2 linked regions of the Schizosaccharomyces pombe genome follow. The gene in region 1 interacts genetically with each later gene. Each region holds a gene or a part of one and is shown in the gene's direction. Other genes may lie near its edges.

Region 1 (6,666 bases):
ATGCGACACGAACTTTTTCTTCATTGACAACCAACTTGAGACTTTCTGAAGATGAGGAAGGACTCAAAGGAATTACTACTATTCCAAGCAACAAACAGCCAAAGATACTAATAATATATTCTGAAGCTTCCGATTTTCGATAATATAAAATTACTCTGGTTCCAGGTTTAAGTCCAACGTGATTTTGCGCAACAGACGCAAATTGTTTAGCTCTATTCAGGATTTTATCCCAACTGTAACTCACAGCTTCTTTCCCTTTTTTATCGATACAAATATGAGCAGTAGAAGTTGGATTTTTATTTCTTCGATACTCAAGGACAGATATAATATCCTGCAGCGCCATCATTGAAAATGTTGGATTTCGTGGATCATTAATTTCAAATCTGGCTCTACGTGGAACTGTGAATTGTAGTTTTTCAGCTGCTGTGGCAGTTGATATATCTGCAAACAGCTTCTGAGATACTTTGGCCAATTGTGGTTGCAGCTCTGCATCCCTTGCTCTTTTCACATATTTTAACACTGGGTCTGGTATTGTCTCAAAAGGCAACTTGCTTTTATCTTCATATTTCGAATGCCTTACGGGATGGATTTTTTCGTTTTCTGAAGGTTTCATAAATCTCAGCACAGTATGACTATCCTTGAAATTTTTGCATTTAGTAATTTTTTTTTATATTACTCTTACCGTTTCACTTTTATAATAGACATCGTTTGCTTTCAGCATATGCGCATCTGTTCGAAGGGCTGAACCAGCAGAACCAATTTCAGATATAACATCCTCTTCTATGTCATGCAGTTTTGTCTTCTTATTGAAGTTGAAAAATGATTTTAGACTCATTTTATGGCTCACGTTCGCATACAGTTAGGAATTGAGGATTCCAAAGCTTGTATGAGAAATGTAAACAAATCGCTTATGTTACCTGTTACCTGATTGACTTCACTAAGGATAAACAATAACATTGAATGAAGTAAAAGTGTACTAAGTTTACAAATCCTAATTCAATTTAAAAATTTAGAAAGACTATGCTCTATCCCTGTTCCCCATCATTATTCATTTATGTGCGCAATTAATTTTACAAAATTAACAGTAAATACCAATCTTTTTTATACATATTAGAACGCAAAAAGTTGGATTGTATCAGCTTTTCGAAAAAAGATGCATCTACCAGGGATCGAACCTGGGACCGTCTGCGTGTAAAGCAGAAATCATAACCACTAGACTACAGATGCAACATACAACTAACAGTACTAATTAATATAATTTATTAACTAAGAAACCTGTCTTTACTAATAACGATTGAGAAAAAAGTGATAACAACAGGCTAAGCATTATGCGCTAACTTTGTTTAATTAAAAGTAAACATTCGCAAATTTTGTTGATAACAATGGACAAATTTAGTTGAATACCCCCATATTCATCGCTGTTTATTCTACCTTTCAGAAACTGTTCTTGTTAGTCAAAAGAAACAATACCTGAATAGAAACATTTTGCGGGAATTCATTCTTGCAAATTGTAGATAATTTATTTAATTTAAAACATTTTACGCTATAAATTTAATGATAAGTTACAAATTGCCGCCTTTTTTGCTTTAACATGATGAAAGTTAATTAGTAATAAAAAAAATTATATGAACAGAAGCAAGAGACCTTAATTTAGTACGTGTGATACTATTAATGTTTATTACGTTCAAAATGATGATTGTACCTAGAAGTGCAAAATATTACTAACCGATTTTTACGCGCATGCTTCAGAACTGCTTGCATTTGTCTAACTTGAACACCACACGTTCGGTCTCATAGTATTGTTGAGTAAATAAACACAGTTACCAAAGAGAATTGAAACCTTACTTTATTAAAACTGAAATCTGAACATGAAACGAAGAGCTACTTTTCAATGTCCATTAATTGAATCTACCATAAAACATCAATCTACTAATTATACCAAAACAGAAACAGCAACTACCTCACACGAAGTATCTGAAAATGCAAATGAACATAAAGGAAAATCAAATATCGACATAAACAAAATTGCTTATTACAATGTTGTATGGTATGGTAGCACAATCTCTTTTTTGACTTCATGACTAAACGCGTCAGGAGAAAAATTACTATGAAGAAACATAAAACATGGGAAGGGGATGGCTTTCTCGTTAGAGAAGACTCAAATTTGACTCTTTATAATTCAGATTTTACAAGGTATTCCTACATGTCGAACTTACTAAAAATGAAGTCGCAAACAATATAGCATCTTTTATTGAGAGATATTTTTTATTAATATATGTTAAAGACTCGGATCCTGTCATTCGAGGGTGCCACAAATCAAAGAAGGAGAATTGCTTCGCATTTCCGGGAAAGAAATATCTGTAAGATATACATGTAAGCGAATGTTTCTCATCATCTTTAGATTGAGAAGGAAATCTCTGCAGAAAGTTATGAAGCAGGCACACATATAGATGATTCTCTCCGAGACGTTCATATGCCTGAAATGAAGCGTAAATTCAAGCCACCTTTGAGACCTAACACAATGTACCAGACAATATCAGCACTACCCAAACCGAGGCATGATCCTACTGTGCTTGGAGCTTTGGTGATGAGCAGGCCCAAGACTTGGGATCCAAGGTATGGTAAAAGTGAATGCTTGATCTAACATTACAGGACGCATGTAGATGTTGTTATTGATCCTTTCCTTTCAAAGCATCTTTATTCTCATCAGCGGGAAGGAGTTTCCTTTCTTTACGACTGTTTATTAGGAATGGAAGGAAAATGTGGATATAGTGCAATTTTGGCTGATGAAATGGGCTTAGGAAAAACGTTGCAAACTATAACAGTTGTCTGGACTTTATTGAGTATGAGACTTAGGGTTTTTTTTAACTTTCATTCTCTAATCTTATTATTTAGAGCAGTCTTATTACGCCAATCGTTCTTCGACTATAAACAATGCAATGGTCGTAGCACCTGTCACTCTTTTGAAGGTAAGAAGTTTCAAAACTTCATTACTAATGGCTAGAATTGGGAAAATGAGTTTTATAATTGGCTCGGTCACGAGCGTATTCATGTTTATATAGCTAGATGCGCTGAAGATTTCCAAGAATTTACGTCGAACAAAACTTATTCGATTATCATTACAGGATATGAAACGGTAATTCCTTTATTTATTCTTTTTTCTAATTGCTAAAGGTTTGTACGTACTTGAGAAACTATGGATGCGGGATTGATATTGATCTTCTAATTTGCGACGAAGGTATTGATTTGTTCATAAATAGTTTATTAATCTTAGCTCACCGCTTGAAGTCCATGAGTAGTCAGACTTGGATTACGCTGAATAAGCTAAAAACTAGAAAGAGGCTTCTTCTCACTGGTACGCCTTTACAAAACGGTATGAATCAGTGAATGCTATTTAATTTTAACCGCTCAGATTTGTCAGAATATTTCTCTATGGTTAACTTTATAATTCCTGGATCTCTGGGGACCCCAAATTCTTTTAAAGCTCAGTATGAGCGGCCTATATTAAGGAGTAGATCAATGAATGCTTCCTCTAGGGACATATCATTGGGAGCTGCAAGACTTCAAAGGGTTTGTTTACTAAAGATAAATTTTATACTGATTTTTAGCTTTTTGAATTTACAAGCAATTTCACGTTAAGGAGGAAAGCCAATATACTGGCTAAACATTTACCGCCAAGAAGTATGCAAATATTAAAATCAGTATTAACATAATAGCCGACATTGTTTTATTCATAAAACCAACACATCAACAAGAGAATGTTTATGGACATGTTCTCGATGGTTTCAAGTCAAGCGTTGATCAGAAGGGCTATTATCTTAAAATTTTGACTCGCTTGAGCAAGATATGCAATAGCACCATTTTATTGAGAAATGAAAAGGAAAATTTTTTGTCAACGGAGTTGCAAGATAAGCATGTATTCGAGCAAGAGAATATGTTGCTCTCCTCTAGCAAACTGCAAATATTGGCTGCGCTACTTAAAAGTTTCCAAAGGGGTTGCCAAAAAGCTGTTATTGTGTCCCAATATAAAGAAACTCTCGAGTTGATTGAATTGTTTTTATCAATTTTGCATGTCCGTTTCTGTAAATTGCTTGGAAGTACTCCTTTCTCTGAGCGTGATTTAATAGTACACAATTTCAATACTTCCAGCTTCAAAGAATTTAGTGTGCTTTTACTTTCAAGCAAAGCTGGTGGCTGCGGTTTAAATCTTACCGGATCCACTAGGTTAATAATTTACGAACCAAGTTGGAACCCTGCCCAAGATTTGCAAGCATTGTCAAGGATATATAGAAGCGGGCAAAAGCGGCCAGTCTGTATATACACATTTTTAAGGTACGACCGCTTTTACGAATAACATATTAAGTTATGCAGCAGTGGAATGCTAGATGAGCGCATTTTTATTCGCCAAAATACTAAGCAAGGGCTTTCAAGTTCGTTCATAGTATGTGATTTATTATAAAATTTTATACTGACTTGATTGTAGGATTCCGATGCAAGCCAAAAGAAGAATTTTTTTACGGGTGAAGACATCAAGACACTTTTTTCATATTCAAAAACTGAAACTTGCTTGACATATGAATTAGCATTTGATTCTGATGAAATTGATTCATTAACAAAGAAAAAAGATCCGTTAACTAAAATTGACCATACGATTGATTCCCCAAATACGAAGGAAAAAGATAAAGAAATCAGTTCTTGGAAAAAGGCTTCTGAATATATGGATACTAATTTGGTAAGTTGTATTTTCATCCTAATATTAATGGCCAGGGGAAAAAGTGTCCAGAGAACGCATTTCAAGGATGGACTTGGCAATTTCCGAATGACCTAAGTATTATGAATGGCGTAGAAGATTATATCCCTCTTGAGCCTTTACCTATCAACTGTCTAATGCATAAAAAGTTCGAATAGATCTATTTCGGACTTTTAAGGAGGCGTAAGCGGTTTTTCCTTGCCCATTAGAAACAACGCTTTTGAGCAAGCCTTCGATACTGGGCAATCTCTATGAGCAAACACCAAGGTTCTCAGTTTAATTATTTCTTCTCTTAAATCATTAGCACTTTGCAAAAGCTCCTTGTTTTCAGAAGTGTAGTAGTTGACTTGGTCTTGTAATGTTTGTAAGTACTTTTTCTTTTTTATCCTACACTTTTGGGCAGCTTGTCTGTTTCTGGCTTTCAACATTGACTGCTTAGTTCCAGTTAATTTGGAAGTGTTTTCATCACCTGAGTCATCCAGCTCTCGTGATGGTGAGTTGTGTGAAGCCTCGGAAATTATACTGGGGCTTTTAGAGGCAGTGTATTCTGATAATTCATCAAAATCGCTTCTCCTGATATTATATGGATCATTGTTAATAGGGGATCGATCGTCGCCGAGCTCTAAAGCTTTACGTTTGGCTGTCAATAAAATCTGAGTTTGCATAAATTGTGAAAAATCGAGGGTTTGGGAAATTGAGATGTCTTTTTCGAAACGAGAAAGATAAATTGAGTTGTATTCTTCTCCATCTTCATGCTTCGGAATAATGGATTCCTCGGTTGGTGTATTTGTTTCGTAGGTCATGCTGAAAATGATTTATTGATCAATAATTTTTTTAAGAAAAATTTATAGCGTCTTATGAAAGACTTCTTTTTCGCAAACGAGTAGAATTATATATTTGATTTTTTTTATGAGTTTTTGGCACCAACTTCTTTTAATAATCGATTTCAAAGTGATCACTATAAACGATAAAATTTGTACAGCTGGATAATGCCGATTAACTGGTAAATAGGTGAATTATTGAACTTTCCGTCAATATCCTTTATAACAGCTTGATACAAATATGAGCGTTTGTTTGCTCACGCGAGGTTTATATAAGTCCTTTATGAGGGAATATTAAATTCAAGCATTGTGAGGAAGTCCATGTAAACAAACACTTTTTCTTGTGAACACAACAACAAAATTATAATGCCTGGTTATTTTAAAAAATTACTATCAACAAACTGTATACAAGTATATTCGCATATGTATGCACATATTTTTGTTAGATATTATATAAGAATTTGGGTAACCAAAATTATTACTAGATATCCCTAAAAACAACATTAAACAAGACAGTTCCATCATAACCAATTTAGTCATTAACATTTAAATTTAAAAATTGTTTAATGTAATAGTTCAACAATGCGGAGGGCTAAATCCTCAGATTCACCCCTTGAACTAGCTTCCGCATACACACTACAATTAGAGTTAGAATGATAATTAACATTGAACTTACCGAACAGCATCCTCGGTTCCAGATGATCGAACAAATGCCCGACCGCCCGTGTATTTTGCTACCAAAGCGTCAATTTTTTCTTGAAGTCCTTCCGGTGTTACTAGTTTTTGTTCGGCATCAGTAGTAGTATAAATTGACCGGTCTTCTACTTCACAGCGAATTAGACGACTAGGAATTTCGCTATATAGCTGATTCCACTCTTTCAAAGTGCAATTTTTGTGAGCCAAAATGACTTCCACCAAAAGTAAATTAGTAATAGCATCTCCATCAGTTTGATTAATCAATTCAAAGACTGTTTTTAGAGTTTTTAAGGCATTAAATTGGGCTGGAGACAATACTTCATGAGAAATTATCTTTGATAATGCAGCATGAGAGACTAAAATTGTACCATGACCATTTGCTTCAAAAAATACTCCAAC
Region 2 (2,995 bases), 2.6 Mb from region 1:
AAGCAATCGGCGCATTAGCGGCATATGGATCCCAAGAATTCGATTTCAATACATCTTTATTCTCAATATCAGAGTACTGTGAAGAAAAGACTGGAAGCGAATATTCTGTAGACATAAAGGATGGATGAGATTTAGAAGACTGCTCGGTCATGCTACGCTTATGTTTTGCGAAGGATTACCTGTTGTCATATATTAACAGTCCGTGGGATAAATTGTTCTTAGTGGGGGATTTTTCCCAAACTATTTCCTGTCCCGATACAAACAAAAAGATGTAGAGAAGAACGATACAACACAAAAAACACAACCTCTACTTTACTTTAAGCAGGCGACTGTACAGTGTGTGGAGTGGAAACCATGCTTACTGTGAGATGTATTGTACCGACAGCAGGTAACACTACGGGTAACGCAACTTACTAAGGAAGAAGCAGGAAGGATTTGAAAAAAAAGAGAAAATGTGAAATTTGTGCTTCGAAGACAAAAACAATTTTTTTAAATGCTAAGAATCATCCCAATTCAGTTTCGTTTCACTCTCTACATTTTTTCTTGTAAGGCGTAATGCCGTAGTTTGACAAAAAACAGATCCCATGAGGTGATTTGTAAGATACAACACCCGTTGGTATGCCTTTTAATGTTTTTAATAACATGTCTTAATGATTTTTATTGGGAGGACGGCTGAGAGAAATTGACGGCAGTCAGTGCATCCATTCCTTCGTTGCACATGTTGATTTTACTTTTACTCGAGAATAACGCCAGGCGGTTCTTTTTTTTAAGCAATAACTACATCATTCGAACATTAATTAATGCTTATAAGAGCTCTTCAAAAGTATCTATAAAGGTTGAGCCAGCTGGTATTTTTATGTCGGCAACTTGATACAATTGTTGTGTATGATTAGTCGCTACATATTTATTTCATAGATTTTCAGTGAAAATCAAATTTATTTTTGGATTCCTTCTTCAAAACTCATAAACAGCCGTCAACTTGTAAACAGAGGCTCACTAATAGATGACGCAATTTTCGCTTAACAACTGCTTAATGCACTCTAAAGATGATAGGTAAACAAGGTCTACTACTTTAGCAGATTAAGACAGTGAGCTGTATTTTGAATAAACATATGTATAAAAAAGCACATCTATTCCTCAAAAGCGTAATTTTTTTATTTTTATAGGTGATATCTTTACAACGTTGTGGGCGTTAAAGATTGTTATGTAAAGCAAAACAGAGAACTTGCTTAAGATTCTCTGAATTTTTAGGTTTCCCTAAAAAACCCACTGTTGGTTTATTTAATTTTCATTTAAGTCTGAAAAAGTCTTGTTTGTGCTATCAGAAAATGCAGTCGTCAATAGAGGATGTCCAAGCTAATATCAAATAGGTGTGGATTTCTTTGTGTAAAAGAAGTCGATTCCTATTCTTTTTTTTAATCTTTTTTGATTTCAAATTTACACTTTTAATAGGTTGTTGGCTTTAATGTCTATCCTCTTATTATTATATGTGGTGTGTTCATATTTTATGCACCTCTTCTTCTACAAACGACGCGTTTTAAAAAAAAATCCTTTCACCCATCCTAAATGATACTGATTTAAACAAAATGCATTTATTAACTACGACGCTTATTTCTTTTGAACAAAACAAAGTAGAATATTTAACCCAAATCGCGATTTATACTCAAACACCTGTATGCACTGATTCAAACTGTGAGCATGCTAGATTTTTAAAACACAGCCTTATTCAAGTTTCAATTGAAAGGATAGAATATTTATACTCGATATTTCCGAATATATGGCAATTCGCTTTGCTTTGCCAAGGTCAAAATAAAGAATCATTGATACATATGGAAGAAGACGCCAGCACGAATTTCAAACTACGATATTGTAAGTTCTGTCTATCAGTATAATGAAACATAATTTCAAAACCTCCCATTACCCATTTTTGACCTAGTTGATTTAATTTAAAAAAAAAAATTTATTAGAGAACGAAAAAAAAATCCGAAGCTATATATTTACTAATGCTAAATGAGTTTAGATGTACTTCCATGGTCTAGAAGACTGCAAGGATACCAGAGCATTACAGTTCAAAATGGTTCCCATGTGCCTTTAGTCAAACGATTGGAAAAGTGGAGGATATTCGTAGAATGTTAACATATAAACATAAGAAAAAAAAAAGACTGCAGAATACAAGAGATCAATGTCATTAATCAATGTTTACACTTTCAAACTCGTCAGAAGATTGTATAATTTCTGCTTCTTTGTTGGGTATTAGATTGTCATCAGCCGTAGGTTCCGAACTTTGCTTAACTGTAGTAATATTTAGATCTTCTTCTTTATCGAGCGCATTCAGTTGCAAGTTAGTAGTATGCGCTTTTTCTGGCTCTAAGACTTCAGAAACTTGAGGGATTTCCTCAATTGCACCGTTAGTACCAATATCTTCAGCTGCTGCGGGAGATGGCTTATCATCGTCTGAATTTTCCTTAGTATCTAAAGGGGCTTCGATTATTTTCTCATCTGTCAAGCCATTCGCATTTTCAGAATTAGCATTGTTTTTTTCAACCTCTTCGTTAGTTGCAGGTCCTTCTTGATTCAATAAAGATTTAACAGCGTTCTCTTCAATTATTTCGTTAGGTTCAGCTTCTTCCTCATTCGCTGAGGATTCAACAGTACTCTTTGTAACTGCTTCACCGGAGGTAGTTTCTTCTTGATTGATTAAAGATTCAGCGGCTGTATTATTTTCTTCTTTTTCATCTTCAAGTCCTTCAGTCTCCGGGGTATTGTTTTCTTCGTTCACGTTAATCTGCTCAACGGCTGGCAAAGAAGATGGTTTTTCTTGATGATTGTTAGCTTCAACTTCGGAAGTTTGCTGGGCAGCAGGTGTACTTTCCAGATTCGAATGTTCCTCAGCATCCTTTATTTGCATATCCTCTTCGGGATTTTCCTGCTTTGTAGAATTTTCTGGCTGATCCGCTTTGATGTTTTCCGAAGAAGTTGGAGCTTCATTGGGCTT

The links.
Region 2: of rdh54 (region 1) and bqt1, changing one enhances a phenotype caused by changing the other (phenotypic enhancement), as found in Schizosaccharomyces pombe (one study listed by BioGRID).

What each region holds. Positions count from the first base shown.
Region 1 is NC_003424.3:701,921-708,586, forward strand, and holds rdh54 (ATP-dependent DNA translocase Rdh54), read left to right. Parts: upstream 1-1,772; 5' UTR 1,773-1,868; coding exon 1,869-2,047; intron 2,048-2,094; coding exon 2,095-2,193; intron 2,194-2,284; coding exon 2,285-2,360; exon of another isoform or gene 2,361-2,401; coding exon 2,402-2,616; exon of another isoform or gene 2,617-2,652; coding exon 2,653-2,843; intron 2,844-2,895; coding exon 2,896-2,969; intron 2,970-3,004; coding exon 3,005-3,136; exon of another isoform or gene 3,137-3,174; coding exon 3,175-3,238; exon of another isoform or gene 3,239-3,274; coding exon 3,275-3,373; exon of another isoform or gene 3,374-3,412; coding exon 3,413-3,570; exon of another isoform or gene 3,571-3,608; coding exon 3,609-3,681; exon of another isoform or gene 3,682-3,716; coding exon 3,717-4,332; exon of another isoform or gene 4,333-4,371; coding exon 4,372-4,441; exon of another isoform or gene 4,442-4,483; coding exon 4,484-4,732; exon of another isoform or gene 4,733-4,767; coding exon 4,768-4,908; 3' UTR 4,909-4,923; coding exon of another isoform or gene 4,924-5,553; 3' UTR 5,554-6,070; downstream 6,071-6,666. Other genes in the region: mug62 (putative AMP binding enzyme), read right to left, coding at 1-637, 683-835; DNA-binding transcription factor Atf31, read right to left, coding at 4,924-5,553; SPOM_SPAC1296.01C (phosphoacetylglucosamine mutase), read right to left, coding at 6,135-6,207, 6,248-6,666.
Region 2 is NC_003424.3:3,271,291-3,274,285, reverse strand, and holds bqt1 (bouquet formation protein Bqt1), read left to right. Parts: upstream 1-1,586; coding exon 1,587-1,869; intron 1,870-1,918; exon of another isoform or gene 1,919-2,020; coding exon 2,021-2,136; 3' UTR 2,137-2,188; downstream 2,189-2,995. Other genes in the region: puf4 (RNA-binding protein), read right to left, coding at 1-151; CHS5-like protein Cfr1, read right to left, coding at 2,189-2,995.